Mytilus edulis: one gene and its partner. The protein of the gene in region 1 interacts with the protein of each later gene in a pairwise test. Links are inferred from orthologs where the notes say so. Each region holds a gene or a part of one and is shown in the gene's direction. Other genes may lie near its edges. The genes, in order: kinesin heavy chain-like and kinesin light chain-like.

The links.
Region 2: the proteins of kinesin heavy chain-like (region 1) and kinesin light chain-like interact in binary tests that used the Drosophila melanogaster proteins (3 or more experiments, as listed by UniProt). The link is inferred for Mytilus edulis from reciprocal best matches to the Drosophila melanogaster genes Khc and Klc.

The regions. Positions count from the first base shown.
Region 1 is NC_092345.1:94,129,758-94,146,973, reverse strand, and holds the start of kinesin heavy chain-like, read left to right. Parts: upstream 1-8,619; 5' UTR 8,620-8,981; coding exon 8,982-9,146; intron 9,147-11,147; coding exon 11,148-11,235; intron 11,236-16,718; coding exon 16,719-16,792; intron 16,793-17,216. Other genes in the region: beta-galactosidase-like, read right to left, coding at 1,176-1,239, 2,138-2,288, 2,701-2,864, 4,789-4,857. UniProt on the Drosophila melanogaster protein: Kinesin is a microtubule-associated force-producing protein that may play a role in organelle transport. Milt and Miro form an essential protein complex that links Khc to mitochondria for light chain-independent, anterograde transport of mitochondria.
Region 2 is NC_092346.1:18,410,900-18,428,422, forward strand, and holds the start of kinesin light chain-like, read left to right. Parts: upstream 1-11,117; 5' UTR 11,118-11,412; intron 11,413-16,602; 5' UTR 16,603-16,620; coding exon 16,621-16,667; intron 16,668-17,523. Other genes in the region: eukaryotic translation initiation factor 5-like, read right to left, coding at 489-605, 1,190-1,362, 1,689-1,770, 3,253-3,327. UniProt on the Drosophila melanogaster protein: Kinesin is a microtubule-associated force-producing protein that may play a role in organelle transport. The light chain may function in coupling of cargo to the heavy chain or in the modulation of its ATPase activity.

The DNA.
Region 1 (17,216 bases):
AATTTTAAAAAAAGACATTATTTGGTAGATGCTTCTATATAAGGTAGCACAATACAAAGATTTTTTTACTTCCAATCACTAACCTTTAAAATGGTGTAACTTTCTTATGAATGCATATAAAATAATAAAAGAGGTACATATAGATAGATAAAAGATTAATCTTTTAAATGAATGCAATATTGTTATTATGCAGTTATTATGTAATCAATTATTATGTAATAAGGGGCAACATCTTGGTCAGTTCACTTGAATGAATTTAGCTCTGTCATCTCTTTAACTATACAGAAAATTTTAACGAAATCTTAATCAACACATCATGGGCTTCAAAAGGGTGTCTCAAATTGTCCCTATGGTATTTCATTCTCTCATAAATCTCTATTTAGTGTAAACATCCTTACCACATAAAAGAAGATAATGTTCAATTAGGTGTAAAATTTGTTCTATACATTCTATCTAAAATCTGAGACACCTTTTTGTAGATAATGGCCATAGGAACAACATGTAATAAAATCAACCCTCTAGGAATACCTATGCAGAAGCTAATTTCAATTGAAAGTGGAAATTTGGTGAAAAATATTTTAGACACATTTAACATTATAATTGGTTACATAACTGTTGTATAATACTAACATTGCATTAATTTAAAAGAGTAATCTGTTAGCTATTGATAACTACCACTATTATAAGTTTTCAAGCATTATTAAGAAAGTTACAGCATTTTAAAACTTGGGAGTTGGAAATCTTTGTATTGTGATAACATTAAAAAATACTAAGAAGTCTGATGAATTTTTCAATCTTTCATGAAATGAAAAATCTGCAGAAAAAATGGAAAAACAAATATATCTTAACTGTTGTTTCTTACTTCTTTTTGTCAGTGTTGTCTTTTTTCCATGTTTTTATTTTCCCTTTGGCACCAAATTATTATTTTGGTGAGAATCATGAATTTTTCACATAGTTTTAAAAGTCTTTAAAATACATATGATAAAATTAATGAGAAATGGAAAAACTTCTGCCATACACACTGCAAATTTTTTGGTTATTCTACAGAGATTCAAGAAATTTATTCAAGTTTTAAAAATCTTTAATACTAGAAATAAAAATGATAACAGAAAAAAAGAGAAATCAACTCCAGTACCTATAAACACAAAATGTTGACTTTTGTTGGGATAACTTACTTGAATCCATGGTGCGGAATATTGTATTAGGATTCTTGGCTAATATGTATGGAGGAAATCCACCCTGAAATATATTACAGAATAGTTATAGTATAATACATTGTTCTCTTATAGTAGGACATAAAAACAATAGAATTTCACAAATATGTAATATCTAATTTAGATGTCAACCACATGAGACCATTCAAATTATTAGATAAAAGACCAATACACAGTTTATACAGACATCTTAACAGAAAATAATTATCTATGACCAATTGGTATATAAATTTCTACCCATTGTTATAATGTCTCCCAAAGTTCTCCAAATCTATTTTTCACTGCCAGTCATGGAAGAAAATCTACAGGTTCTCACTATTATTTAATTGCAAAATACCAAAATTGTGTGAGTCCTTTGCAACTTTTAACATTAATTTACTCTGACATTAAAAAATCTTTATCTGAATTATCTATACATGTAAACTTAATTTATATCCAGAGTATCACTTACTTGTGGCTTTTAGGAAAAATTACCTTATAAAGAAGATAAAGTCAATATATAAAACAATGAAAATGAGATCTAGGCCAGGTGACTATACATGAACTTGCAATTACTGAGAAACTTATCAAGTGATGAAAAACTAAACACTGATCATTAGACCATAATAAAGAGTGGCGGTAGGAGTCTCATCCAAAACTCCTGTGAAAATAAATGTAAAATCCTGAATTTCTGTGAAAATAATGTGTAAGTTTCCGCCTCACAAAGGTATAAAAACTCCAAATTCCTGACAATTTTAATGAATTACCGGTGGCTATTATTGAATTCCAACAAATTAAACTTCCTTCCCAACAAAGGTCTCTCTGTACCTCAATCAAGGAAACCAAACCCATGTGACCTCTTTAAAATATATTGATTGATATCTTTATCTTAAAATGATTTTCTGATCAGAAAAAAAGATCCAGCTCAAAGTACAATAACTTACAAAGTCCCATTCTCCACAGATATATGGCCCTGCTCTAAGTACAACAAACAAGTCAACTTCCTGTGCCTGCTTAATGAATCCAACTAAATCTTTGTCACCTTCAAAATTCAATTCATTCTCCTCCATCTCATGGAAATTCCAAGGTACATATCTAGAAATTAAAAAAACCCATTTAAATTTCTTTTCTAGAAATGTGTATCATTTAATTTGCTTAAATTCTATTATCATCTACAGAAAACCAACTCATTCTTTAGGAGGGGGGATTTGTACATTTTTTTGGTTTATAATATAGATACTGCTTAAATTAATTGTACCAAGATGTTTGCAAGATAGTTTGAATATGAAAAGGAATCATTAATTCTGACATCCTGTCCTAATCTTCAATGTAAAGCAGAGCTGAACTGATGATTCAATTTGTAATACAGTAAGTACAAAATGTAATAATAGATGATGACTGTCAGCATAGTTTATACTTGTGTATAGATTAAATAGATCATTTTGGTATTAATATTTATTTTAGAAAAATTCATCCTGAAGTCATGTAAGTCTAATGGACTACCTACACTTGAACAGCATTTAAGCCAGCAGCTTTCATTTTCTGTAATCTGTCTTTCCAGTAATATGAAGGTATCCTGCTATAATGTATACTGCCAGATATATAACGGAAAGGTTTGCCATCCATACGGAACATGTCATTATCATAATCAATTGTAAACGTTCTGTTTGCCTGAATATAATGGAAAATTAATTAGAATCTAATTCATAACAGTGTGGATGTTATTTCATTCTATTCATTACAGTTAATAAATTGCTTTGCCGAGTGCAGCTGGATACGACTGCAGGGGTCCAACCCTGAACAGTTGGGGCAAAAATGGACACAATATTTAACGCTTGATACAGGTCTGAATTTGGATTGTAATTAAAAATTTGACACATAATAGGTTTCTGACACAGAATAAAGTCGAAGAACTTGAATTGATTTAATGAATATGATTTGAATTTATACTCAATTTTTTGCTTTTGTGCAATACACTATGCTGTTGTGAATTTTCCTCCCCTCTCAAATAAAAATTAAAAAAAACTTTTTTTTTTAATTTTATGCAATACACTATGATGTTGCATATTTGCACAAAAAAAAATATGAAGAAATTTTCATTTAAATTTCTGAAATCTGAATTGAAAAAAATTGCCCCTACAACTTCTCTCCCCCCCCCCCCCCCCCCCCCCAATTTTTTTCACCTCCCCCACCCTTTTCCTTTCCCTCGAGTAATGTTATAATCTCAATTCAAATTTCCATTTGAGTTTGCAACCATAATTACCCATTAAATACATCATAAAAGTATTAACATTGATATTAATATTCCTTAATCAGCATAATTCTTAAAGTAAATTGACAGCTAATCACCTCAAAACAATACATTTCTTTGTACATAATTTAAATGCAGTGTTAGGGAGGTAATCCAAAAATTGTCTTAATTCTCAATTAACCAGGAAACCCTTGTTTTCCCCCTTTTTTGCCCCTAATTCATATACAGTTTGAACCATAACCCCCCAAACCCAATCTTAACCATCCGTTTGTAGTCTGGAAACTTGAGGTATTATTTCAGAGAGATCCATACACTTCAACACAATTTATTGTCTGGAACTAGAAAAAAGCATATTTGGGCCTCTTAATTCCTAAATTGTTGGGACAATAAGGCATAACCCCAAAAATCAATCCAAACTTTCTTTTTGTGGATATAATTAACCTTGTGTTTAAATTTCAGAGATTTCTATTTACTTATACTAAAGTTATTGTCCGGAAACCAAATGTCTTCAGACGACGAGGACGAGGACGACTACGTCATGTACGTGATACCAATATATGATCACAAAAAAATTTGCAGTTGTATAAAAACTATCAATTATTTGCAAGATATTTGTAATTGTTGTCAGACAAGGACAATGACAATTGATGACAATTATTGAATTAATATGGGGACGGAGTCCCCAATAACAGTAGAAAATTCAATAAAAAAAAAATACGGGAAAATTTCCCGAATTTTTCATTGTACTAATGAACTCAAAATCGTTCAAATTTTTTTTGTCGTGTTTTGAAATCCTGGACCTGCGCAGAAATGTACAATGTACTTCCTTTTTCCGGTCTCGTTTGTATGAAACTTTGAGTAAAATATATATTTATCAGTCTAGTATAAAATAGGAAGGAACGTGCAATACCAATTTCATTTTTAATAATTCCTTGATATGAAAAAACGTTACCTGATGATAGCGTTTCTTTGTTTACATTGCATATGACGTCATAATTTAAATGACGTCACAACTAAATCCCTTACAACAGAACCAAAATCGGAAACATTACGGTATTTCCGTTTCTTTTTTTTTAAACAAAATATTTAAGTTACAAAAAAATAATTCATACAGACTTCGTCCCCATTTACAGGTAGTGCCTGCCTCATATTAGCTCACACTGGCTCTTTGGTCCAAAAATTTGATTTGATTTGATATATGAATGATCATGAATTTTGTTAGATTGAGTATTGATTTGATTTGATTAAAATTTGTTTTCACTCCTCTGAAAGATGTTTGAGAACACTAATCTAAAATTTTAAATGTTTTGAACCAAAATATAAGTTAACTTGTGTAACAAATACCTTTAGTGCATGTATGATCATAAATAAAAAGACGAAAGTGAAAGTTGGACGAAACATGTAAGTCGCCATTTTCAATGTTTTGTTGAAGTCATGTGATTAGATCATATGACTTGGTTACACGTTAACTCGTACCTTTACCAATTCGTACCCAATATTTAATATAAGTGTACCGATATCCTATTACTGCATTGACAATTCTACCCTATTGACAATTCGTCCCTGTATTTGATATAGATATATAAATATATAAAGTAAAACAGCTTTTTATATTCCCTAATTTTCATATAAATATATATGAATCAGTGGTGATCTGGAACTGTGATATTAACCTGTTGCAATGCGAAGTCCTCCGCAAGGCTAGTGTATATGCACAAATATTGTAGTTGCTTAAAGGACACTCAAGCAACTAAACCGAAGCCGGATATTGTTTAAAGCACTTTACAATACATCTTTAAACTTATGTTCAAAAACTTATGATCTAGTCCTGATAAGCAGCTGTTGCCTAAATACAGGCTCTCAAAAAACATTGTTGAAATAAAAAAATAAGCGCAAACATTACTTGGATTTATATGCAGCCTCTAGTACAACTTGTCCCAATGCTCTGAGGGAGAAAAAAATCAACAACAAAAATCATAGATCCTTAATAGTTAAAATGTCAAAGTTGGATATCATTTCCTGGGACAAATTTGTAATTGTTTGCTTCTCTAATTATTTATTGAGGTAAAAAAAGAAGAAGTAAAACCATCTCAACCTCAGACCTAAGCATCTATGACAAGCTATTTCGTGTCGAGGATTGCCCTGATATCTTCCCTTTTCAATCTTTAAAGTGTGTTCTGACACATGCAACCTTGTCGGATTTTGTCTACAATGTCAACACTTTGGATTACAGATGCATATTTTTTTACAACAAAGTTATGTGTCCAAGTGTACAAGAGAATAGTTTACTTCAAGTAGGCCTATATGTATGTAAATCAGATCCTATAGGTTTGTACAAAAAAAAACAACAGAATATTATATGTCTTATATCCCAGATGCACAATATGACCAAAATTAAAAGACTGAAAATACGACGAAAAGACAAATAACAGAAAACGAAACACAATACAAAAGACCGTAATATTGAACAACACAAATCTCAGCCAAAACAGGCCAGGTCAAACTTCTGCATGTGCTCATGTAGGATAAACAGAACTTTTTGCATTAGAGAAACTAATTGAGATATTGCTTGAATAAGAGTTAAGGGTTTTACAAAGCATCCAATCTAATTAAAATATTGATCTCTGATTTCGTTAAACTACATATCAGTCATATATAGTATAACAAAATTAGAGATCAATATCTTAATTATAATTAGATTGACAAGGCATCAGTTGTCCCTTCCAAAATAAAACACTTTACTTATATCTGCGCTTGACTTTTTTTAAAACTGAGTTTGACTTATAGTTTCGATCTGAATGAGGGATGTTGAAACTATTCCAATATCTGCTATTTACATCATAAACTATCCGGGCAAAAGGGTAAACAATGTAGATATGATATTTTTTATCATCAAATCTTTTAAGGAGAAAAAAGGGAATTTACTAATATCCAAATTGTAAAAGAATAAACAGAACTTTATAGATCAAGATAATCATACTAAAAAAATCAAATATATATCGTTCTCATCTAACATAGGTCTATATTCAAACTAGAGTGAAGGTAAAAGCACAAAAAAAATCAACGGTAAAGGTGTGTATTTCACGACAATAACTCTTATAGAGAGTACATTAACGATTTCGGTCAAGGACTTATGTTATATGTCAGTTTGGTATGTTCAGGACGTTTGAATATTTCAAGTTTACTATCACACACGTTATTTCTTTGAAATAGCCTTTTTTTGTAGATCCTGGTTTGCTGATGATTTAGCTGCGAATAATTTGTCACCATCTATTTAAGTTTTCATATATATACAAAAGTCAAATGCGACAACACTGAAACTGTTATCATACCCTCAAAAATGTGTTTTAACAAGTTTAATTTAATAATCAATAAGTTCTTCGTTTCTTTCTATATGTGACCCCCTCATATGTATCATTTTGTACACAAACATATCAGGAATACATCAGTGCAACCATAAACTTGTACAATATATGTCCGGCCTTCTTTTTTTGGGGGGGGGGGGGGGTGGGGTTGGGGGGGGGGGGTAAACCGGCTAGCTACACCGCCACTGTCCTGAAAATGTTGGAAGCCTGAGATACAAAATATATCAATAAATAGTTGAAATTTGATCCGAACGAACATTCTTAACAAAAACAAAAAACCCTGTATTTTCATTATTTATAAATTAGTATAAAAGGTGGGTCTCATTGGGGTCTAAGCGTGACGCGGTATTGCCGATTTTTTGTAAGCGTGACACGTGAAAGTCAAATGATTGTGCCGTGAAAACGGGAAATGATGTCTAGCGGAAAAATGAGATATTATTGCTTTCATACTTAGTGTAAGCGGGATACGGAAATCTGACAAAACAGTAAACGGGATCCGGGATCAGAACCCCCCCAACTTGAGACCCCTAATAGTCCATGATTATACAATATACATATGTTTCTGTTTGTCTAAACAAACAAACAAACTATTATTAACTTGGAGATTCAGCGGGAAATATCTTATTCTAGAAAATATTGACTTCCGTATTTTCTATTATTCATTTATAAAAACTTTTTGAGAGTCCGTTACTGTTATTAAAGTTGAAGGCATATGGCCAGTCAAATGATGACGTTAAACTTAACGACAACTATCTGTCGAACAGAAAACAATGTGTTAAAGTGGTTGCATATTTTAGCACCTGGAAAAACATTTATAAAGATGTACCGCAGGGGTCAATATCGGGTCCTGTGCTTTTCAAAATTTTTATAAACGACATTTTCAATTTTGTAAATGAAAATGAGTTGTAAAACTATGCAGATAATAATACATTGTCACACTCAGGACCAGCTATAAACGGATTAGTTAAATCTTGGGAAAGGAAAGTGCAGTTTTAATAGATTGGTTTGCTAATAACAAAATGAAAGCTAATCCGGATAAATTTCAAGCTATTGCCATTGGCTATAAATCTAAAAGTGGGGATATTAAATTCAATTTTGATGAGAATGAAATTTCATGTGACACTGAGGTAAAGCTCCTGGGAGTGACAATAGATTATCAACTCAAGTTTAAAACACATATTTCTGAAATTTGTAAAAAAGCATCAAGGCAGTTAAATGTACTAAAAAGAATTGGGAAACATCTATCTAAATTGGGAAGGTTAACTAATCATCATTCATATATTATGTCAAATTTCAACTATTGTCCCGTTGTTTGGCATTTTTGTGGGGAGGGTAACACTAAAAAATATATTGAAAAAAATACAAGAACGAGCCGACAACCTTGCTTCGGAAGTTGGAAGTACGGTACACTCTGGAATGAGCTGCCTGACGCGATATGTGCGCAGTCGAATCTGAACCATAATAATAATAATGAATAAGCTTTATTTAGAGTCGGCAAGATATACAAACATAGACAATTTGATTTTTTTTTATGTTTCAAGTTCATTCTACTTTTAGAACTAGTTAAGCTTATGTATTTGTCTTCTTTGCATGTCACGCTTATAATCTAGTTTAATTCGTGCTTGCTTTTATATATATGAACTTTGCTTATACTTATGCAATAAAGCTGTCTCTACGAAAAAGCTCTATAGAGCTTATGTTTGTAGTATTTCGTGTAACCCGATTTAAAATAAATTTTCCTATCTAATCTTATCTAGTCCGCAAACATTGCAAAGCTAAAATTAGAGATTCCGCGGGAAATATCTTATTCGGGTAATTTCGAGCTTTTATATGGAATTAAAGAAACGTCTAGAGAAGTTCGATTTCTCGCAAACGTCATTTCCCATCATTCAACAGCAATGATGGAAGAAGGAGGAGATTTTGTTCGGACGTTATAAAAATAGTGTGTTCAAGGCGATCGCCGTGTCATCCTAATACATTTTGCTCTATTTTCTGCTTAGTAGTTCATTGATATATCCAATTCGCTTAAGATATCTTTCTTGTAACTCTTTCCAACTGCATTTTCACTGGCTAATTTTCTGTTTATTCAGCTCATGATATATTCATGATGGTGTGATTCACATACATTACATTATAAATTGATGTTTACAAATTAAATTTGTATCGTAAACAATGGCGACACAGCAGTCACCTGCTCCACCAGGGCCACCAGGGCCTACTCCTGATGAATGCAGCATCAGAGTTATTAGCAGGGTCCGACCATTAAATTCCTCTGAAGAAAAAGTTGGCAGCAAGTTTATCTTGAAGTTTCCAACAGATGACTCTATAAATATAAATGTAAGTGATTTATACATGCAAAAATGAATATTTAATTTTTTTTCTTTTGAAAATGCTACAGCTTCAACTTTAAACTAGGGCTTTAAATAGAAGCCAGTATTGTGATTTCCTTCGTCTATTTTGTCTATACATGTAGCATGAAAGATCATGGAATAGACCACTTTCGAGGGTGTCCATCAATTATGCGCACCTTTATGATGTCTTTTACCAGATAGAGGGGATCACCTGTATCCCTTCACTATAAACGTTCATCAAGCGTCTTAGTCTTATTATGAGAATTCAATTTGCTGAATAGTTTGTGTAATATAGCTTTATAGTTTTCCAATCACTTGCTCAACATTTGAACAGAAGTGAAGACTCCCCTATACGCACGAATGATGTTCACTTAAACCAAACTTTTTGACAGAAATGCATAGAACTCGAAAGTTGTCTATTTGGCAGTCTTCTTTGTCCTAAAGTATTTTATTTAAATTACACAAAAATGAGATCGATATGTTGACCGTAGTTCTATTTTAAACCTTAAATTATTGTTGTGTTATTGTTTATGTGTGTCAGTCTCTCCGTAAGAGTTGTGCAACAATAGTAGTTACCAGTTGTTGTCATTCCGAGAATTGTTTGTAAGACAAAACCTGATTGGGCAATCAACAAGTCCTTTTTAATTGGTGTACAATTGCACATCATGTGTGATGGTTAAACATTTACATAGCGACATTACCCATTGCTAGCTTGGTAATTTAATATGGTATACTTCAAAATTTTAATAATGTAATTTAAACAAAATTTATGAAAAATAAAAACTTCATTCAAAAACATGGCAATCTGAAAGTTGTATTTTTGTGCCAGGAGACTTCTAGAATGCAGGGAGGATTTTACTTTTAAAATAACCTAGAGCCTTTGTCGTCCCCACCAGCATGTTGGTTATTTTTTAGTTTCAGCCTTCTAATTCTATTGAAAGCCCTGTTATTTATAAAACAGTACAGTGTTGTCAGCAGATGTGATTAGGGACTGAAAATTATGGGCTTGTAAAAGTTGTTGCCTGAAATACATTGTAGCTCCAGTTTCAATACTAATAAAATCTATAAATTTGTAATATATAATAGAAAAATATATAAGGTATCCATCCATGCATCCATTACACAAAATTAGTACACGAACAGCATATAATTTATGAAAAGTAACAGGACAGCACATTAGTTGCTGTTCTTCATGCCTTTGTAACTATTTTTTTTTAAATGATCGATGATTTGTATGAAGATTTCCTTGCATATTATTTCATAGCAACCACACCACCACCATTACCTAGAATAATAGCTTAGATTATGTGAAAACTTCCGAGCACAGGTTTAACCAGAAAACTGATTGATATAACCCAAAAAACTCTGTTTTCATGATTTGATGCATCTGATATTGTCAATTGAAAATTTTTAGAACGAACTTTGAAAGTCAGTTAAAAAAGGCTCAACTCATCAGATGGATACAAATAGAAAGACATTGTTTAAAAGTGATTGGCCATTGATCAATGTTTCCTGGATCTAATCATTTCTATACAATTGTTTTCATGACCTAAATCATAAATATACATTTAAAAATTTTGTCATTGTTGATAAAAAATCAGAACTGGCATAATAACAATACCAATTCAACAATTATTGTTTATCTTGAAATAAGAGACACATACTGTCTAGTTTGAATTTGCTACAGTTAGGAAGTTAATGTAGCTTTACAGTAATTCCTTAGTTGTTGGTTGCTTGCTGCTTCATGTAGTCATTTGTGGTAGTTGTTTTCCTTTCTAAACTGTTTTTACCACGGAGTCGTCAGTTCCTACTGGATCCTGATCTCATTTTGTTTGTATTGTATCATACATGTATGTATATGTATTAAAGCTAGATTTAACATAATATATTACAGAATAAACCAGAATTTGATTTGTACTATCTGTTGCATATAATTTTAATTATTTGAAATACTTGTTCATTGATTAAGTTAACATTTTTTTTTTAGGGAAAATTGTTTATTTTTGACAAAATACTGCAACCAAATGTTTCCCAGGAAGATGTATATAATACAACTGCTAAAACGATTGTCGCTGGTAAGTAATGTGTTTGTTCTATATAATTTATCTTTTCCCTAAAGATACAGGAGCAAATACTTTTAATAGGCAACTGAACTGAGAGAGTATCTTTTACTGTACATAAGTAAATGATACAACACATTAAATGGTATGAATCTTGGAATGTCCTGTTGAATTGCCTTTCTGAGTAAACAAATGTAAGTAACATTAACATGCATGTAACAGTATACAAAAAAGCAAGTTTATATTCAGAATAAAATTGAGAAAGGAGATAGGGAATGTATCAAAGCGATAACAACCCGACCATAGAGCAGACAACAGCCAAAGGCCACCAATGGGTCTTCAATGTAGCCAGAAACTCCCGTATCCGTAGCCGTTCTTCAGCTGGCCCCCTAAAAAATATGTATACTAGTACAGTGATAATGGACATCATACAAGACAAAGGCCAGAGGCTCCTGACTTGGGACAGGCGCAAAATTGCGGCAGGGTTAAACATGTTTATAAGATCTCAACCCTCCCCTATACCTCTAGCCAATGTAGAAATTAAACGTATAACAATACACACATTAAAATTCAGTTCAAGAGAAGTCTGAGTCCGATGTCAGAAGAATATTATGGATCATCTGATGCTTCATATATATATATATTATTAGTATGATTCATATAGCTTTGAGACCTTTATTTAGGGATTTGGATTTAATTTAGGGAGGAACATACTTTTATGAAAACAATACTTGTAAATTAGAAATATATTATGCATGTAGTTGTAGAATGAATCTGCATATTATTTTAAAATGGAGTTCACCAAATACACTTTTATATGTCAGTTGGGTGAAAAGTGTCATGTAATCACTAATCAAGTCAAATCAATTAACTAATGTTTAAATTACTGTATGTTGCACTTTAATTTAAACAGATAAGGTTTACTTTGTACTAATTTGCATTCACCAACTTGACAATCAATAAATTTGCTGCAGCAGACATTATTGATTTATAGATGTCTGATATTAAGCTGTTCAATGTGTATTATGATCCAAACAGTAATTCATTGGATTTTTGGTATTAAAGTTTTAGGGCAATTTATGTCATTTTAATAATCATGTGGACCAAAGGGGAAAGTAAACATAATCATGATAATCGTGCCCTTAAATATTTAAAAAAAATTATATATACATCATTTTACTATCATGTTTTATAATATCAAAGCATCTTAATTAAAACATACAGGTACAATGTAAAATGTGTAAGTTGTATAATTTCTTTAAACCATAATAAATAGAGAAAATCAAACAGGGGAAACATGCTAGACTGTCAATCTTTACCTTGTTGCCATAAAATAAGCTGCTATAACTAAATAAAAAAAACCAGATTGACTCCTTATACAAGTAATTGCCCTTAACTAAAGATTCATTACATTCATTACCATTTGCACTGTTAAAATATTTGGGTAGAATATTGATTGAAAGGATGAGTTTTCTGTATATTTGGATGCTTATCATTGTCGTTATGAAATATTGTATCCTATAGTACCCTAAAGAACAGTTTGTACATATGTATCCTGAAAAAATTGTCTGAACTGATTGTTGTTGTAATGTAGGACATTTGAATTGGTGTTAATATATTTCCCAACAAATGACTCCTAAGTACATGATAAAAAAGTAAAGTTTTTTAAGGTTCCTACTGGTGTTAGTTAGCTGTCTTCACTGAGAGTTTGAAAGGCCCTTTGTTATCTTATATATAAATGTTATTATGTAATTTGTGAATTACAATAGTAAAATGTCATATTCATGATTATAAGTCCTAAACCTCAAACCATATTTGATTCAAATATTTAGAAAAAGAACCTGACATTTGCCTACTGTTTTAATTTTGAACATGGTTTTGTTGATATATGATATTTAATTGTTTTGTTTATCTCTCAATAATTTAATTTTTGGATGTAACACGTCTTCTGATTGGCTGACATTGTTTTGTTTATCATATCATAGACACAATTTTGTCATGTGACCATGACGTCATCAACGTTTTTTCATAATTTACGCCGGTTTAAAATGAAATGAAAATTAAATTATAAGAAATAACTAATATTTTGTCAGTCTATTCGAAATAACATAAAAAATGTGGTGTTATTCAGTGTGCACCACATTTTTATGTTATTTCTTCATAGACAGAAAAAATATTACAGTCATTCCTTAATTAAAACTGGTATTGTATTGATTTCAAAATAAAATTGGTGAAAGTATGTATAATATTTGTTATATAAAGATGTTTCCTAGAATCAGCTGATTAATTGATTTTCTAAGATCAATACCTGAGTCATGTGCAGGATGTTACTTAATGATGTGAGGAATGTAGTCAAGGTTAATCCTAGTACATTTAACTTTCAATGTCCTTTTAGGGATTTGAAGGATATGTAATGTCTGAGTTTTCTAAGATGTCCATAGACCAATAATGTAACATTGTCACAATTTTTAATGTAGCTCTATAGCCTCTAAAGCTAAGAAATGATTAAGAATACTCTTAATTTCAATCTGAAAATTTGAATTAAAACTATATTTAAATTTTCACTTTATATTTGATTTTCACATATATCTAAATACAGTGTATTAACCTGTGTTATCCGACACACTGGGTGGCCAGAAAAAATTGTTGGATTAAGCAGGGTGTCTGAATACTCAGTTTATTTCTTTAAGCATAGGCATAGTTCGGACCATGAAAATGTGTCTTTTAAATCAGGATGTTGGAATACTTAGGTGCTGGATTATGTAGGTTGCACTGTAGCAACAAAATTATGTTTTTGTTCTCCTTTTTCTTTTAGATAAAGAAAGAAAATAGTAAAATCTCTTTGTTTTTCTATAACATAATCTTTTACTTTGCCAGGAATTCCTGGCAAGACGGTTGTGAAGTATGGAAAATATTCTTCTTTATATAAAATAGCTTTTTTATTTTGCCAACTTATGACACCAAACGTCTTCCAAGGCATACTAAAAGAAATATCTTAATCTGCTTTATATTGTCTACAATAAAATATTGCCCTCGTAAAACAATTAGTGCTGTTAAATGATTTCATTCATCTCTGCTTCTCAATTAGATGTAACTTCTTAAGGGTTTATTTTAATTAAAGAAGACTATCTAGAGCCCAGAACTTTGAAATGTTATTTTATTCCATTGAAGAAGAAAAATCCCCCTAAAAACTACAGAAAATTTGGTGAGGTTTGATTTGAGATAGAATTACTAATATAAATATATCCTGTTATGTACCTCCGTCATTCACTGATGAGCTATCAATAGATACAAAACAATAGCAGATAGGGTGTTACTTTTGGCAAGAGAGAATGTGTTTCAATTGAATATATTACTTACTTTCATTGATAGTTATTTATAATATTAATTTATTATTCAAATCTATTTTTGTCACTGCTATTTGTTATAAAGACCTGCTGAACATCCATAAAAAATACTGGCTGGAAGTCCATACTTATTAATCAATAATTGGGTGTGACGATTTGGATATTAACCAAAATACCATATTTCACTATTTTTACGTAACTGATAAGTGAATAACAAGAATCTTGACAGTTATTACAAGAGGGCAGAGGGTTGGGTTCTCTCTGACTCTGAATTCTATCTACTTTCTTAATTTATCAAAAAAAAAATTTTATGCTGTCTTCTCATCTTTTCTGTCAGTATGTATAAGATATATCCATGAGGGTGTTAGCATGATTGGGTGTATCTAATATACACTAAGATATTAAAGTTAGTGCAAATAGATAAAATTCAATAATTTAGGAGGGTGTCTATCAGCAATTAAAGGTAGTTTTATGTTAACACACTATACATGCAGGATACCCAATAATACTTTTATTATGTCATCTTGCAATTGTGTAAAGACTCTTAAAAAATTGTAAGAAATACATTTTGTATAAATGAAAATTTATTTGAGAGAAATATGTATGTGTAAAAACTATTTAAATGAGTTTTATATTGATAAATGAGAAAGTTCTGCTACAATTTGATTAGACAATAATGTGTATTTTGTGCAGTGTAGAAAATATACATTCCAGATCAGATTTGAATAACACAGCTGCCAGATGTTTTGTCATAAGTCCTTTCTTACATTATATACATACCAATAATAACATATGTTTACCCTTCTGCCTATTGTTTATTAATATATGTTAATTAGGGTTAACATAAAAACAGGCTTGATTGCTTTATTAACTGTGGGCTTAATATCATAGTAAGAACACTGAAAAGGGGATGAGTTTGAAGGGAAGAGTATTTTCTTCCTGAGGATTTTTTTAAAAATAAAACCAGAAATGATAAATTGTATCTAGAAATCAACATAGAGTTTCGGATAGCAGACAGATATGTATAGTATAACTCTAAATCAACCTGATAGGGACATGTTAATAGTAACTTAACAGAGGTTTTAATTTCATGAGAAAAATTCGTTTACCAACAAATTAAAAAACCATGGCCTTACCGCAAAACACAGATCAAGTTCATTTGACCTTGACCTCATTTTCATGGTTGATTGGTCGATCTTTATTTTTTTTTTTGTCTGTTTCTTAAAAAATATGAGCATGATAAGCAATAGGTCAACTAAAATTAGTGTATTGAATGATTATGATTGTAAGTTGTACATGTATTTCTGTTAGGTTTATATGACCTTGACCTCATTTTCTTGAATTGTTTTTAAGTTTATGTGATAGTTGATGCAAAACTTTATATTCTGGACTATTGACATATTATCAATGCCAGTGGTTGGTAAAGAAGGCAAGACATTTCAGTGTGTGCACTCTTGTTTTCAAAACAATTATACAGAAAAGTGAAATTAAAAAAAGATCCACAACTTACAATCAATATTTTAAATGATAAAGTGAGAACTCCTTGTTTTCAAAATTCCAATAGGGAACATACTATATATAATTGTATAAATAAACCAATTTTTCAAGACGTTTCGGCCATTGGCCTTCTTCAGTTCTTTATTTTTTTGCAATGTCAGCCATGTAGTTGAGAGGAAAAATAAAGAACTGAAGAAGGCCAATGGCCGAAACGTCTTGAAAAATTGGTTTATTTATACAATTATATAAAGTGAGAACTGTTCAATTTGAAGTGCGACTATGATTTGGGACCAAAAGTTTGATATGGCAATTAAATTAAATTGTCCAGTTTTCACATGAAAGTGATTTGGTATTAGTGCACAGAAAATAAAATAAAATATTTCAAGGGCAATAACTACAAATATTTGAATGAAGATTCTGTTCACTTGATAAAAGTCTGTGAAATACATTGAATTGTTCATATGAGATATAAGAATATAAAACAAATAATACAGTTTGTTATTTGCATTGAGGACAAGAGGTCAAAGGTATATATATACAGAAACATATTTCTGCATAATATTTCAAGAAAAGCACATGAGTCCTGTAAGTCTAGGAAATATCTTCTCCTTGTTTTCTGTTCAGTATCTTTAATACAACCAATTTGTTTTTCAGATGTATTGGCAGGCTACAATGGAACAATATTTGCGTATGGACAGACGTCTAGTGGTAAAACTCACACTATGGAGGTAGGATCTATAAAATAAACATATACAATAAGCTGGATATAATTTTGACAATGTACTTTTTCAAATTAATATTTTCACTAGTAATTTGTAAACTATAATCACTTGTATTGATTAACCTGCTGATTTGCAGAGTTTAATTAACATCTTTTTATACGATAGCAAGCACATTATGGGGTCATACCAACCATTTAGGAATTAAGGGGCAGAAACAAGCATTTATCTAGTTTCAGAACTATAACTTGTGTATTAGTATTTTGATTGCTCTGAAATTATACCACAAGGTTCAATAATACAAGTAGCAGGTTGGGATTCATTTTGAGGGTTACTTACTGTCTAACGGTTTCGGAATAATGGTCCAAAAAGGGTCTAAAACAAGCACTTTTTTATGCCCCACCTACGATGCCCCACCTACGATAGTAGAGGG
Region 2 (17,523 bases), on another chromosome or scaffold:
TATCCTTCCTATCTTGAGGATAATTTCCATACCAGGTGATAATTAATGTCCAAAACAAACATGTAAACAGTTTTCCAATTGTAGTTTTACCATGCTTAAGGGATCTTTCTTGATAAAAGGTGTGAAATTCTCTCAAAATTAAAAGTAAAAATAGTATGCAGTGTGAAGTCTTGCTATATCTGGAATATTTTTATGATAAAGGTGTGATTTTTTTTGTTGGTCAAACTAAAGGTGCAAATAGTATTCCTGTTGTAGTGTTGCTATATCTGTTACATTTACTATGAGAAAGGTGTGATTTTTTATCAAACTGACTGTTTAAATGCTATTCAGGTTGCAGTCTTATAGTGTACTGAGGATAGTGTTCCCCATAATACCTTATAGCACAATGGTGCTATCTAAAGATATTTTGTAATAGAAATCTTATGTATGTGGTGCTATTTTTGAATTCATGATGGTGAATGAAAACATGTGAACGATTTCTTGCTTACCATATCTGGAGGATTCTTGATGATAAATGGTGTTAGTTTATGTCTCATATCAACCATTCCATTATAACCACAGGCAATACATCTTTGTCCTATTGTCTGTTTCTTCTGGGACACACTCTAGAAAGGTACAAGAAAAAATAAATATATATTAAGGTTGATTGCATCATGATACAAGGTCAAAATTAGAATGTCATATTTTCAGCCCCCACTCTTAAACAAACAAAAAGAATTAAATCCTGCAACAAACTAAATAAATTTATTATTTTACCATTTTGCATGTTTTCATCGGATAGCTGTAGTCTGTTTTATATTTTACGGCTAATTAATTTCAAAGTATTGAATTGGTTGATCAGAACTAAACATAATTTTACTTTTCGATACTTTTCCAAACATTAAATTTCTAGAGGTTAAACAGTCTTTGACAGAGAGCGGTTTTCAGAATGAAAAAAAAAGTTACTAAAGCTGGAGTTATATTTCTCAAAGAGAGGTCAGTTGGATCATGGAATCAGCCAACTGTGACTGGTTAGTATATTTCCCTAATGAATATTGATAATTGGCATTTTTATACTTTTCAAAAATAAGAAATATCTTAGCAAACAATTTTTTGTAAGAGTTCTAAATATCAAGCCCTGCAACTTTAATTTCAAATTCGTTTTACAGGGAGTTATTGTGCATTATAAGAAATATCTACTGATACATACCAATACAGTTTCTGGATTATGGCATTCTGGACACAAGACAAACTTCTTAATAAAGATATCCAATAGTTGTTGAAGTCTAGGAGAATCATGTGAGCCATTAACAATGAATCGGTCATTTTTCAAATCAACTTGAGTTTGAGCGCCAAGTTCACATCCAAAAAATTTGGTTGTATCTGAAATACAAATTTGAAACTGACATGAATAACACATTTTTAAATGGAGTTTGTAATTTGATAAATTAAAAATTCCAACATCATGAATGCCAAACATTTTAAATTATTTGATGAGAAACTTATCAAGTAACTAGCAGAACATATTTCTCAACCAAATTCAAGTGCTTCAATTATTTAATAATACAATGTATATTAAGATTCTCTATGAAAATAATAAAATAAAACTTTCCTTTATCAACTCTTTCAGTTGTTATTTTCACTTCAATTTGTAGGCTGTAAAAAAAACCCACTATTTCTCCCGTACTTTTATCATATGTTGTACTTACATGTTGGTGGTCTTGATAAAGCCTTTGCAACTTCAGGCATGTTGACAATAACTGTTTTAATTCCATTCCCTTTCCCTTCGACCTACAAAATAGAAAATATGCATGAATAATTTAATACACAATAAATTGAACAAAAAAATAATTATCAATTACGTTCATTCAATGGTACATACATGTGTATAGAATACAAGGTTTTAACTGAGATATTTTTATTGGTTCTTTAAATTCCTTCAGTCAATTTTATTTCTGGTGCTGACACTTCAAGGAACTATTACTCAATGGTCTAAAACAGATATCCAATAATTGAAGTCAAATTTTTAATTTATTTTCATTTTTAAATATTTTTTTCAATTTGTAAGTACAGAATGCTCAATTTTCAATTTTATAATTTAAAACTTGTTTCTTCATTTTATTTTGTGTACACTACATATGTTATGCTCACTCTTGTACTTATCTTAGTCTATTTTGTGTTTCAATTTCAATAATGAGATATTCATTTGAATCAATCCCATAAAAACTTTTTCATTTGTGTACTTCTTTGGTTGTTTAAGTTTACATTTTAGCACAGTATTGCCATTCACTCAAATCAGTTTTGTATTTGAAAACATTTTACTGTCTGGCCATTCACATCTGCAATATGCTGTTTATTCAGAAACAAAGACCTTTATTTATAATAATACAAAGTGAATGTGACTGAATTTTGATTATATTCATAATAATAATACTTATATTTCCCTTCTTTTTTCTGTAGTGTATTTAAGGGAAATAGAGTTACAACAAGGATAAATTTGATAAGGCAGAGAAAAAAAAGATCGATGTTTCCAGTAACCCGACCGACCCTGTTTTTTAGCCCCGACCCTAACTTTTTTATTGGATCTTCAAAAAAAATAATTAAAAAATTGTATCAACCGACCCCGTTTTTGACACAGGCTTCTGATAGATGACATAATATTTTTTCTCTCTTGCTTCTACTTGCATAGAAAGCCAGTAAAACATTTTATTAATGTCAAAAGGTATTCCAAATAGGTTAAAATCCAAGAAATTTGCACAGCAGGTGCTTCAAAAACATTGCAAATGGCACACTTCCGGTTTTTGAAACTAATTACGGATCCGGACTTGGAAAAACCATGATAATTTTCCAGATTTCATTTACGATGTCAAAAAAAAAAAAGAATTCCGACCTACCGACCCTATTTTTCAAAATGATGTTACCGGAAACATATCTTTTTTTTTAGGCCTAAGAATTATCACAATAAACAAATAAGTTAAAACATTTATTTTCTCAATTGCAAATGTCAGGGTTTGAAATTAGCAGGCGCACTTGCCAATGGCCCCTAAAATTTGGTGTTGGCTACTTGAATATCTGCTTTTCATGTACAGGACTATATATGTGGGCTACAAAATTTAAGCTGTGGGTTACAATTGCCAGTCTTAAATTCAATCCCTGATTGGGCTCTTGTTTATCACAAGAATTTTTTGGGGTTGCAAATATGGTGGAACAATCCTAATTGATAAGTTTTGGTCACGAAAGAGCCTAGAAAAATATACAATCCAGTTTCTTTACCTTGGCTATGATCCTAGGCATCTTATAACGGTAGAACGGGTCATTAATGTCGCTGTTGATGTTGATACTAGCCATAATGATATTAAATCTTTTATACTGTTTTTACCACTCCCCGTATAATATAAATGACAACAAAATCTTTGGAAATTCATAAAACTCAATAAGTGACTAATAGTCCGATTGTGTTCTTGTGGTTCAATTCTTCTCGAGTGCCACGGCAATGGCCCTGAAAAAATAATAAGAAAATGTGTTTCACAAAAGCTGAAATAAGAGTGGTTAGATACAGGTTCGAATAGTATTTTATAATGCAGAGCTCAAATTGTAAATATTGTGCAATAAAGCATCTCCCAGTAAAGGAGCCAGTCTTAACAAAAAGACAAGTCAAGGTTGTAAGAATATTTCAAAGTGCTTTTCTCTTGGCCTAAAAGGGCAATTGACTTATAACTCTGCGATGTCAAAGGGATAAAATTTTACACTGGCCTTATCTCATTCGGAAACATGAATCCTTGTTCAGACATTCAACTATACTTGACGTAAGAGCAGCAAATATCAATTTGAAAGTCTTCAGTACATTGACCATCCTGTAGGGGATACGTAATTCCCACAACTTCATGCACATTAAAAAATTATCAAGATTATCATCCAAAGATACGCCATAACAATCAAGTGGAACAAATTATGAAAATAAAAATTCAAAGACCAGTTTTAAAACTTGTCTCTAGTGATTTGTTTGTAGGAGACCTGATGTTTAGCAAGCCAACTCCATGACAATATACAAATGTACCTTTTACTTTATTCCATGTTTGCCATATGGACACATTCAGTCAAGGTTGTTAAGTTGCCAATCAAAATTGCCATATACATGTAGTATGAAACAATAATTTTATGGAATGTGGAATAAATTGTCGACATTTCCCATGTTTCACACTAACTGTTTTATTTTTACCAAAAGGTTAAAAAAATATTTCAAGTACAGAAATAACAACTCAATTATCATATTAAAATTCCAAACATCTTGATTACTCTTGACAGTGTTGAAAGATTATTAAACAAAATGTTTCAAATATTTAATAACAGGTGTGGTGAGTTGGAAATAAATATTAGAAACTCTGTATTATTCCACAAGGTAAGATAATGTTTTCACAAGGTCTTGCTGTCTGCTACGTGTCAGCCAATCCCATTCCATAATCTGCCCACGTGTTACACAACTGTACAGTATGGCGCAATATTGTGACATCTCACCAACTTTCTGTTTCAATAAAATAATTAAACACATAATAAACTTCATAATTATTTAAAATAAACTTACTGTCTAGGCGCAAAAACTTCATACGACTAATGATTGCTGAGGTAATGAAAATCTGGCGTTTTGCCTGGGAACTAGCAACTCCCAAATATGTCAGCAAAAATTCCGTTAATCTGCTTCCCGTGGAATACCAGAATCTGAAAAACAAAAGAAAACAATGTAAAGTTTGTGTTGACGAATTATGAGTATCAAAGAATAACATATTCCAAAGTTTTAGACGAAAATTTGTTCGTAGACCACAACCGACCTTCAGTGAGTTCTGGTTGCGCTGATAATGAAATTACCCGGATGACGTTGATGTAATGTGTTCGACTGGTATTTATTGGATTATCTATAGAGCTGAGAACACAGTTTTACAGTTGTGGGTACCAGCCATTAAGTCGAAAGAATGTGGTATGATTAAACGAAAGATTTTTTTTGTATCATTTAAGAGGGGGAGGGATGTACGTCACATATCAGGATGCTTTAAGGGCATACGATACAGTTTTGATCCTGTATTTACAAGTTGATGAAAATTTTCATATAGGCTATTTTAAACCTGATCAAATCAAATATGTTAAAAAAAATATACCTTCATGTGCTACTTTTTGAGTAAATTGGAATTCAAATTTCAGATATTTCCTTAAAATACGGATGTGTGGACATATTTTTCCTTTCGATAGAAATACATAACTTTTATGTTTTAAAAGATAAACACGATCTGTTTTTTGTTAAATTATTTGTAATTTGTGTGTTATATAAATATTGCATAAATTTGTACATTTTATTTTTACAAACTTATCAAATGATCATGAATGTAGGAAAAAACCGTAATTTTTGGATGTATATTTATCTAATTTTAAAAAATTGCACTATTTACGTTTTCGTGAAAATTGGTACACATAATCTTCTTCCGTAATCAAACCAAATGTCATTTTTAAAAATAGGGGTCCATGAACTCGTTTTCAAGTTAAATCAGTTTGAATGCTAAAAAATAGCCGAAAACTGCATCTTTTTCCGATAAGTCACCGTTTGACGTCGCGAAAATAACAATTTACGTTAGCAACGTCATTACCTCCCCTGTAACTGTATCGTATGCCCTTAATGCAAAACTTATATGATACAACAATATAGAAGTAAATTATTTTTTATATCGATTCAGGAACCGCTAGTGGGATTCTACGTTATTAATTGTCGCTACTAAAAAACAATTATTTGTATAGTTACAAATCCTTGTAAAACCCCTTAAAATGAATTACAAGTTTGAGTATAATTATGCTGCAGTGGCTATTTTTCATGCAACACGGTTATTATTTCAAAAGCAACTTTGATTCTAACTTTGTTGATTTTGAAGGTATGTGATTGATTTTGTTAGATTGTATCATGTTTAATCAAAATGATATGATATCGGAGATTTTCAACTTTTGTTTTTTACAACATATCCTCGTCTCATTCGTTTTCGTTGTCATTTAGAATGCATTGTGACGTCTCAATTCCCATTGAAAAACGGCATGCATAGTCACGAATTCATATGACATTCGAAAACATATGATCTGTGACAGAGACCGTGATATATAATACAATTATATATGTCGCTGATACAGCCGTTAAATAAATGAGATTTTATTCTTAATGCATACATGTAGCATTATTGTGTGACTGATTTTGAACTATGTACTGATTTGATTTTATTCCTACAAATGAATGGCTCAGTTTTTTATTTTTATTTTTTCAAATTTTGTTTTCACTAGTTTTACTCATAACTGATCAGAAATGTTTTAAATGCTTATTGCCGTGAAAATGTCTCTCAAATATTGTAACTGTTATCTAATTTAAATATATGAGTATTAATTTGATCCTTTTATGTTAACAATCACCATTTCTTTATACTTTTCAAAAGTAAATACCAAAATTCACTCTTATAAAAGAACCGACAAACTATCAAATTCACCGTAATGCGTTTATTGTCGACGCTGGCTAAATAGCTATTGTCTATAAAAATAGTTTTGTTTTAACTTTGCCGGCTTCCAATCAATTGCGATATTTTAATCAGAGCCGGTAAACTGGTATTGCATATATTTTTATATTTTGCCGGTGCCGGAAAATAGCGGCATGCATGCACTCAGGCCGCCTAAAATTTATATTTAACTGTTGTGTCCCAGTGCCTAGCTTGATTTCAAATTCCAACTAAACTCGGAGGCAGAAGAGATGCGAGATGAGATGTGATATGATTGCCAATTGTTGTCACTAAATGACGAACATATGTTAATTCACCGACTGGCTCGTAATGCTGCAAGCTTACTTGAGAAGCAACAACACCCATTTCAAAGTCTTTGGTTTGACCCGGCCTAGAACGAGGCCCCTCATGCGGGGGGGGGGGGGGGGGGTCCTAGTAATCACATAATCACCATTTTTTTGCCAATATAATCACATAATCATTAAATATTTGCTTATCTTTAGTAATCAAATAATCATAAACTAAAAATACAGTCCTAGGTAATCAAATAATCATGAAATATTTGGCTTAATAATCAAATAATCATTAAAAAAAACGGCCAAGTAATCACATAATCAAAAACCCCATGAGGGCCCTCTAGAACCAATGATCTCCCGCACTAGAGGTGAACATACAACCACGAGACCAACCGATTATCGTGTGTGTGTGTCTGTTTCTTCTGAACAATTCAAGGGTTTGGCTTGGTTTTAATTTGTTGCATGCATAATGACATGTCTGGCGATTGAGCTTCTGTACAAATTTAACATGCTTACAAGTGGTATTTTTCCAAAAATACTTTATTATATTCTAGACACCGGTATTTTTGGCATGTAATACCCCTTGTAAGCATGATGCCTTTGTATGATTGTTTAATTCCACCGAATGCTCTTTGTATATCCATCTTAATTAACCAGTCAGAAGTATAATTATAATTAGGTATCATATGGAGTTTCTGCTTGACTGTATAATTTTTGAATGTGTAAGTGGTTCAGCTATATATATAGTTGTTGTTGTAAATACTGTCCAATAATCCTGTTTGTAAAATAAACTGTAAATAGCATAGTAGCAAACTTGAATTGTATGATAGGATGGATTCCTTTAATCAAAGGAAATAACCAATGACCAAGCTGGGCCACATTTCTTACTTCATCAGGCCAAACAGTTAGCCGTATGACAAACTCAAATGCATGACACGAAATTCTAGCACAATCTGATTTCCTGAGATGACTAACAATACCAATAGTATGCTTTTAAAATTATTATAAATTAACAAAAATAACCTTCAATATACTTGTCTATATGCTAGAACAACAATAAATATTTAAAGTTAAAATTCTTTGTTATTTGTACTTCCTATCATAATTTCCTTGGCTGTCAGAGGGTTGCTGCTCACAAGGAAGCTATATAAAACCAAGAGTTCTAAATGGTTAATTTTACGGACGCCATCACGAGTTGGTTGGCCGTTACACAGATGATCGGATATAATCCTTACGTATATATATATATATATATATATATATATATATATATAGTAACTATACACTCCCTTTCCCTTTTCACGAAGGTATCCCACAGAATTAGACTATTAACCGGGTTTGTTATAACATGAGCAACACAACTGGTGCCAGATGTGTGCATGATCTGCATCAGTGCTAAAACTTCCAAAGCATCTGAGATCACCACCAGTACTATTATAGTACTATTATTTAGATATAGGAAGATATGGTTGAGTGCCAATGAGACAACTCTCTAAGTAACAATTTATAAAAATAAATCATTATAGGTCGAGGTACGGCCTTCAACACGGAGCTATGGCTCACACCGAACAGCAAACTATAAAGGGCTGAAATATTAATAATGTAAAACCATTTAAACGAGAAAAATAACGGTCTAATCTATAAAAAAAATTATAAAAATCTATAAAAAAAATATTTGTCTGTTTGTCTTTTTCTTTCTTAGCCATGGCGTTTTCAGATTATTTTTGATATAAATATTACACCGAATTCGCTGGATACATTTGGTCATAAAAATAATTAACAGGGCGTTTAGGTATGTTAAAATGAGACCACAAACAAGCAATGCAAAAAGAAAAGAAACATTTTCACTGAGAAAAGCATACGATCTTGCGCAATGTATAAAATGGATAAGTGTCGAAATCATGTTGGACCATAACTTTGAGTGTCTATAACGGTACAACAATACATTTCAGAAGTTTACAGCCAATTTCATTGAATGTGTAGCTACAGGGAATATATTTGGTTAGCTTGCTTGCCAGCTGAACCGTGAAGTCATTATTAGGTAAGGTATACAACCCTCTTTTTGAAGTAACCTAGTCCTACATACACGATAGATTGGTTATCTGTCTCTATCGGACTAGTCTACTCTTAAAGGATGGTAGTTTACTGTGACCTAAAGATATTACTTTTAGCTATACACTCAATGAAATGGGCTGTAAAATGTTATTACAGATATAGACAATAATCAAATATATTTCCACAGTATTGTGTCTTGTATTGATAGCCACTTGTTGAAGGCCGTACGGTGACCTATAGTTGATAAATTCTGTGTCATTTTGGTCTCTTTTGGAGAGTTGTCTCATTGGCAATTATACCATATTTTCTTTTCTTCTTTTTTTTTTTTTTTTATATTAAAGTACAAAGGATCAATACGTGTACATGGTTGAATTAATCTATAATATATAAGTTCATGAGCTCTAAAACCAAACACGGGATTTTATATTTTTCTGCAATTAAAGCAAAAATTCACACAAGGACAGAATTTGTGTAACAGCATTTTATGTATGGTGACGAAAGCGCTGACTTGATATGCAGTGCATGATACCAAAGATATTATTGTATTATATGTATCTGATGATACATAGATGACTTTCATTTAAAATTCATCTTTTAAATTGTACAATTTTTGTATACCTCGCAGCAACAGCACGACCAACTAACTATACATGATGCCAACAAATTGAAAGAGCTGTTAACACTTGCATCATGCACTAATGTGTACCATCCGGGGACAGTTCCGGTCGGGTTCGTGATGTTTTAGATCTCTACGAAGTGTTCTTGTGAGTGCTATGTGCTATAAAATTTAATCAGAAAATATAATTTAGACCTAAAGTTTTTTGTTCGAATGATCCGTACGGTTTTTAAATATTATTTTCTGACTTTATGGATAACAAAATAAAATAAATTTCTTAATTATTGGCATACCGTAGTAAATGTGAATACATCAAGTTAAACAATGGCTAAGTCGGTTTTGGACAATGACAAAAGTCATAGACGACCCTCGAAGACATAAAATTCTGGTAATTATAATGTATTACTTTTTACAATTATAACTGTAAAAATGTTACAAGGATGTGTATTTACCATACAAATCATTGGTCTCTGCAAAAATTAGAGGAGCCGTTTTTGTTCGAGCTATCGGGTCGATCCGGCCCCACGTCGATCCGGCCCAAGTCGATCCGTCCCACGTCGATCCGGCCCATATATTTGTAAAGTCGATCCGACCCCAATAAAAAATATTTTTTCTTCCGTGGGATAGTATACACGATTCTTACGGGACCACTGGCTGGGGCAACTGATCAAACATATTCTACCTATAGTATTCAAGAAATACGACAGAGCAACTGACTATCATATTTAAAACAAATATAAACAAGTGACACAATACGTTATTATTAACACATAACACTTACAACCACAGATGAAGAAAAAACAAAAACAAAAAAGGAAAGCATAACAACCATACTGTATTTTTCTTTTATTACAAATTAGATGCAAAAGTATAAGTCAAAAACCAAAGTCTCGAAAACGAAAATTCTCAATCCCTTATAGAAGTTAAAAACAATAATTAATTTTATTAATTTTATTTATATTTAGATTTATTAAATTAAGTTTAAACTAGTATAGGTTAATAAGGCGCACCACCTATAAACAAAGATAGTCTATGATGTTACCTGAAAAAAAAATACAATTAATTATTATTTAAATGCAACCAACCAGAAGATCAAACTATAACATGTATAAAAAACTTGTTGATTACGTAACTTTAATTAATCAGGATTTGATTGATTTAAGTGATTACGAGTGGCATTACCTTAGTTCACAATCATCAGATAATTGTTGAATAAACAAACCAATTATATATTAAAATATATCTATAGTTCTTTAACTGGTACTCCAATACTTCACTAACTTCCTGATGTCATCCACCATCGGACACTTTTTGCAAATTCTATTTATACTGTTAAAAATTGTCACAAATTCCCCCAAAATCAATATAGTTTATTCATATTTTATTATGGGGCCGGATCGACGTTGGCCGGATTGACTTGGGGCCGGATCGGTTTGGGGCCGGAACGACCGGATACCTTTTCGATTGATGATTTTACAATAAATGTTCAACGGCATTATTAAATCTTACTGTATTTTTTTTCTTCCAATAACCTCAATTAAGATCTTTTACTTATTTTGTATTCTTGGAACTGAACATTTTACGATGATTATAAATATAACCAGAGATTCTAGTCCTGAGTGATTTTTTTTATAAATTTCAGAATAAAATCTGTCTTTTATCAAAACCAGTTATTCATGAAAACGGCCATGTTACTTGTGTGGGGAGTGAAGTTGTACACATAAACACTATATTTTGCTGTTATAGCTCTACTAAAATTTAAATACACAGACAGACATTATAAATTTAAGCTTTGCTAAAACACCACTGCACATGGCCGAAAACATTGGTGCCGACGTTGATTTGCAACTTAGAATACCCACCAACTGTCAAGTCTGACAGGAAAGTCCAGCTCAACAAGATGTATAGATTTTGTAATTTTTAATAGTAATACATATCTGAAAATTTTAAGGTAATTAACATATTTCAGGACAATATTCTCAATAAGTATTTATTTCTATATCCACTTAGCTTAGACGTTAACTTAAGCATGCTAAGTTGACATGTTATGCCTCCAAGTACAATCGGCTCTAGCCTCTACTATGAAAACCTGTTTTATTTTTAGGGCAATGTAGACTTGTGCAAACCACCCCACCCTTTCAGGCCATGCAGAACAGTATCTGTGGAACTGTAGCTCTAAGGTCCTTATTCTTTTTGATAAGTTGCAGGTGTCAAAAATACCTGAGTGTTCGGGAATCAGGGGTATCAGGTCCGTTCGCGCCCAATACAGTTTCGCACCCTACATGTTCGCATCTCGCAGGTTCACTCCCAGGTCCGTTCGCACCCAATTTTAAATAAAATTCCTGTTGAATAGTTAGAAAATCAAGATTGTTTTTTTAGTTGATTTGATGTAAAAACTGCATGTATTTAGCATGTTTAGCTGGGTATGAGTAAAAACATTGAAGATTTTAAATGAAAAACACAAAAGATTTTAACAGCTTGGCCCTTTTGATCTGAAACAATGAAACAAAAAATCATAGCAATGCACTAGAACCAAAACTTGATTAAAATTTATTCAACACAAAAAAAAAAATATGTTGTCATAGTCTCACTTTATTTTGAAACAATGAAATAAAAGTGAGCAATACACTTAACCAAAACAAGATTAAGATTTATTAAACACACAAAAAAAACCACATTGTCTCAATCTAATTTAGGACAATGATAACAAATACAGTAACACTTACAGTAATACACTTGCCAAAGCTTGATTTATACAAAGTTATCAAACACAAAACCAATAAAAATGGGGCGTGAACGTGTAGGGTTCAAAACTGAAAGGGGGCGAACGTGATAGTGTGCGAACAGACTCGGATTCAGAATTGGGTCAAGGAATCTAGATACCAAGTAAAATCTGCATCATCACAATTTGGCATGAGTGAAAGATATTTAACACATGTAAAAGACAGTTGAACTTGAAATCTAGACTTATCATGCTTATCGACACCTTGTAATGCCTACTAATGGTACTTTTTGTACTTTTATATTCCACTGGGCGGGCATGTTAATCTTTCAGACCTTATTGTTAACAGTGGCCTGGTAATGATGTGGGTTTTCTTTGATTTAATTCATGTGTTCCATCAGGAAGTCATACATCTTTATTTTTGTCAATATTTGGATGAATGAAATCTAGTATGTTAGTATGATCAGGATTACATTATGAGTTAGTAATCAATTGCTTTTTTTTATGCCCCACCTACGATAGTAGAGGGGCATTATGTTTTCTGGTCTGTGCCTCTGTTCGTTCGTTCGTCCGTTTGTTCGTTCGTCCGTCCATTCGTTCGTTCGTCCGACTTCAGGTTAAAGTTTTTGGTCAAGGTAGTTTTTGATGAAGTTGAAGTCCAATCCACTTGAAACTTAGTACACATGTTCCCCATGATATGATCTTTCTAATTTTAATGCCAAATTATAGTTTTGACCCCAATTTCATGGTTAACTGATCATAGATAATGAAAGTGCGAAGTTCAGGTTGAAGTTTTTGGTCAAGGTAGTTTTTGATGAAGTTAAAGTCACAACTACTTGAAACTTAGTACACATGTTCCCTATGATATGATCTTTCTAATTTTAATTCCAAATTAAAGTTTTGACCCAAATTTCACGGTCCACTGAACATGGAAAATTATAGTGCGAGTGGGGCATCCGTGTACTATGGACACATTCTTGTTTAATCATAACTTGGAGATGAAGATGTTTATGGCAAATTCTTTTATCAAATATCATCATACATGCAACATTTTGTATTTTAATGTATATATACTAATCATAATATTTGTGCATCATGAAATAATGATAAAAATACATGACTTCGCACATTTATTCTATTAACTTCATCTAACAGTTCAATTTAATAAAAATAGTAATAAGACACAAACAATATACGAAATTTAAATTAATCTTATAATTAATTGCTTAGAAGAAGCATACTTGAGAAAAACACATTTTAAAATTATTGTCAAATGTTCAAGTATACATCATTTGTACATTGCTGGTACACTAATAATTGCAACACATGCTAATTCATTTCTTACCTTTATTTCCTAACCCTGAATATATATGAAACGATTGTTTAATTTGACTAATCCCTACCTATTGCCTTTACATTTATGTAATAGGTGCCCTAATTTAAAACTTAAAAGTGTAGTTTCCACACAGATCTTTCTAAGAGTGCCCTTTTAAAAGCTGCAGGTAACATTACTTTTGCCTCTGCCTATTCAGTTGAATTCAATCATTAAAGTTTGATGCATAGTGCCTATACATGTACTGTCCAACAAGCATGCTCACTGATAAATGTATCATGTGGATGTTGACATAATTATTTTTTTTCTCTTAATTTTATAACATGTAGAATGGGCCTGATAATGCATAGTACATGTACATTTTTTGGCATTTATCTGATTTTTTTATAAATCATGATCGCTGCATTGCAATTTGGGCAATTATATACACAAATGATATAAACAGGTACATTCAAAATGTTTAAAATACTGCAAAAATTTGCAACAGGTTACATTGTACATGTAGGTTTTGCAAATAAGAAAAGCTTGTATTTCATTAAATTTTGACAATATGCAGCATTTCCTAAAATTCTAATTTATGACACTTGTTCGACAATCGGAATAATAATTGCACACAAACATTTCTGAATTTACAATATTTGAATGCTATTTGCATGTTATTTTGTTCAGCATATACATGTATATCATAAATATGTTTAGATTCTGATATTACAACATGTAGTAGTGAAAGGATACAGAATTCTGTTCATTATACCCCCGCTTTAAAAAAGGGGGGGTATACTGTTTTACCTCTGTCTGTCCGTCCGTCCGTCAGTCCGTCTGTCCGTCCGTCAGTCAGTCCGTCCCATGAAACTTTCGTCACATTTTTCTCAGGAACTACAATACATGGATTTCTGAAATTTGGTTTCAGGGTTTAACTAAGTCAGCTATACCGTGTGATGCGTTTTCAGATTCATCACTCAACAACTTCCTGTTTACCGAACACTATTAATATTATCCACTTGCGGGTTTCGCAGTTTCACTTGTTTTATTTGTCATAATCCAACCTAAATATCTCTGTCCATGCCAATGGAAAGCATCAATTAATTATGATCATTGATGATTTATGATCAGTATATAATCAGTATTTATAAGGGAAACACGACACAGTACCAACTAAAACATGATTGATTTTTGGCCATGGTGAGTCCAACAGTGATACTCAGATAAGAAGAAACTTTATTGTTGTATAACTAAATAATTTATTATTTTAGACTTCAAAACATAGTAGATCAAGAAAATGTCATTTAATTGAAATTTCTCTGAAACATTTGATATAATATGATGCTATATGTACATGCATGTAGTCACGGTTTATACAATATTATAAAATCTGAATTTATGCCTCTTTAGACTCGTAGTATTAATGAAAATGACGAGTCAAGACGGTTTTTCTTGAGTATGAGTATAGGACAGTCTCATGGACTCGGCGCCTTAGTCAGACCTCTGCATGCAGGTTAATCTGATTTTAGAATCTAAATTTTAGAAGTGATGTTTGAGCCATCAAGTTTGACATATTTGTGAATGGGTAGATATCTGTTTTCTAAACATGCTAAAAGGATCTTGTTTTTGATTTCTTTCAAATCTTATTTCTTGGTTGGTTTGGATACAAAAATTTTCAAGGATTGTCGTGATTTTTGTCGACCCTGCAACTTTTGTTGCAGAAAGCTCGACATAGGATAGTGATCCGGCGGCGGCGTTAGCTTACTTCTTAAAAGGTTTATATTTAAGAAGGTGAAAGACCTGGATGCTTCATACTTTGTATATAGATGCCTTATGTTACGAAGTTTCCGTCAGTCACATGTCCAATGTCCTTGACCTCATTTTCATGGTTCAGTGACCACTTGAAAAAAAAGTTCAGAATTTTTGTAATGTTGAATTCTCTCTTATTATAAGTAATAGGATAACTATATTTGGTATGTGCGTACCTTGCAAGGTCCTCATGCCCGTCAGACAGTTTTCACTTGACCTCGACCTTATTTCATGGATCAGTAGACAAGGTTAAGTTTTGGTGGTCAAGTCCATATCTCAGATACTATAAGCAATAGGGCTAGTATATTTGGTGTATGGAAGGACTGGAAGGTGTACATGTCCAACTGGCAGGTGTCATCTGACCTTGACCTCATTTTCATGGTTCAGTGGTTATAGTTAAGTTTTTGTGTTTTGGTCTGTTTTTCTCATACTTTATGCAATAGGTCTACTATATTTGTTGTATGGAATGATTGTAAGTGTACATGTCTAGCGGGCAGATGTCATCTGACCTTGACCACATTTTCATGGTTCAGTGCTGAAAGTTAAGTTTTTAAGTTTTGGTCTTTTTATCTAATATTATATGCCAAAGGTCAACTATATTTGGTGCATGGGAATATATTATGATTTATATGTCAGTCCCGCAGGTTTTATTTGACCATGACCTCAATTGCACGGTTCATTGCACAGTGTTAAGTTTTTGTGTTTTGGTCTATTTTTCTTAAATTATAAGTAGTAGGTCAACTATATTTGTTGTATGGAAGCTTTGTTAGCTGTACATGTCTGCCTGGCATGGTTCATCTGACCTTGACCTCATTTTCATGGTTCATTGGTCTTTGTTAAGCTATCTTGGTTAATGTTAAGTTTATGTGACAGTTGTAATAAAGCTTTATACTTAGGACTATCAACATAATATCAATGATTAGTAAAGAAGGCGAGACATTTCAGTGTGTGCACTCTTGTTTATTATCTTTTCTTAGATGTTGGACATGTTAGAGAGTTAAATAAAAACATCCATATTTATTACAAATTATTGTGAACTTAAGGGTCAATGTTTTAATTTTTTGATTTGAATTGAAATATTTAAGTGTAGGACTGAAGAAAAGTAAGAAAGATAATATTTTTTATAAATTTGTGAAATATTTAGATAAAATTCATATCTTAAAGCATGTTAGCACTGTTTATAGATACATTTTATGTTATTATAGAATGATTATGTTGTTAAATGGTTTGTTCTGTTTGAATGTACATGTACAATGTATCAATGCATGGTTTTAAGTGATTTTGTTAATTTTCAGATTTTAATTGCATGTAGCATGGAGTCGTCAAAAGGTTCACCAGAAGCTGTTACAGAAGACAGGGGGTAAATAACTTTATGTATTTTATTTAACATCAGCACTACGACAGCAGTCTTCATGCTGAACCACAGGCCCAGCAGCCCAGGCTTTTAAAATTTCTCTAGGGCCTGTAAAAATCATCTCTACATGCCAACATAAGTTAATTATAAAATTTTAAAAAATAAGTTTCGAGCCTGTAGATTTCAGAATGTTCAGTGTGAAGACTTACAGCATGAAGAAAAATACTAAAGAATAATGAACAAATTGATAATCATATGATTGTTTTAATCAACTATCACAAAATCTGATATAATAAAGTGGTTGCAGCAACAGGTTTTGAATAAATCCTTACATTCGTTTGGAACAATCATTATGAGAATGGCTCATCTTTCCGGGGATTAATGAGAGGGCTAGGTTTATTACCCATACCTTTTTAGTTTGTTACAGCATGTCTATAAAAGCATGCAAAGCAAACATTTGATCAACTTGCTTGCTATGATTGTTTGGATGTTTGTAAACAACAGGTAGGTAGTCTGTTTCAGTCTGTTTACTATATACTGGAGTAACTGGACTTTGATTGGACAATATTACCATTGATCAGTGTTTGGTTAAGTTTTGAGGTTGAGTATTCTACTAACTATCAAGCAAAGTACATTTTGTACATGTACATTTTTTGTAAGTCAACAATATTTATACATGTCGATAATCGATTGTTTTTATGAGGACTACATTCTGCATGTGTGACAAATATGTTTTATGTGTATGTCATGTACCTAAATTTGATGCTCAAGTTTTCCAGGTTGCACGTCTATTCCTCAATAACTTTACAGGAAGGTTAATGATATTTGCTATACAAAATATTACATGGATACATGTATGTTG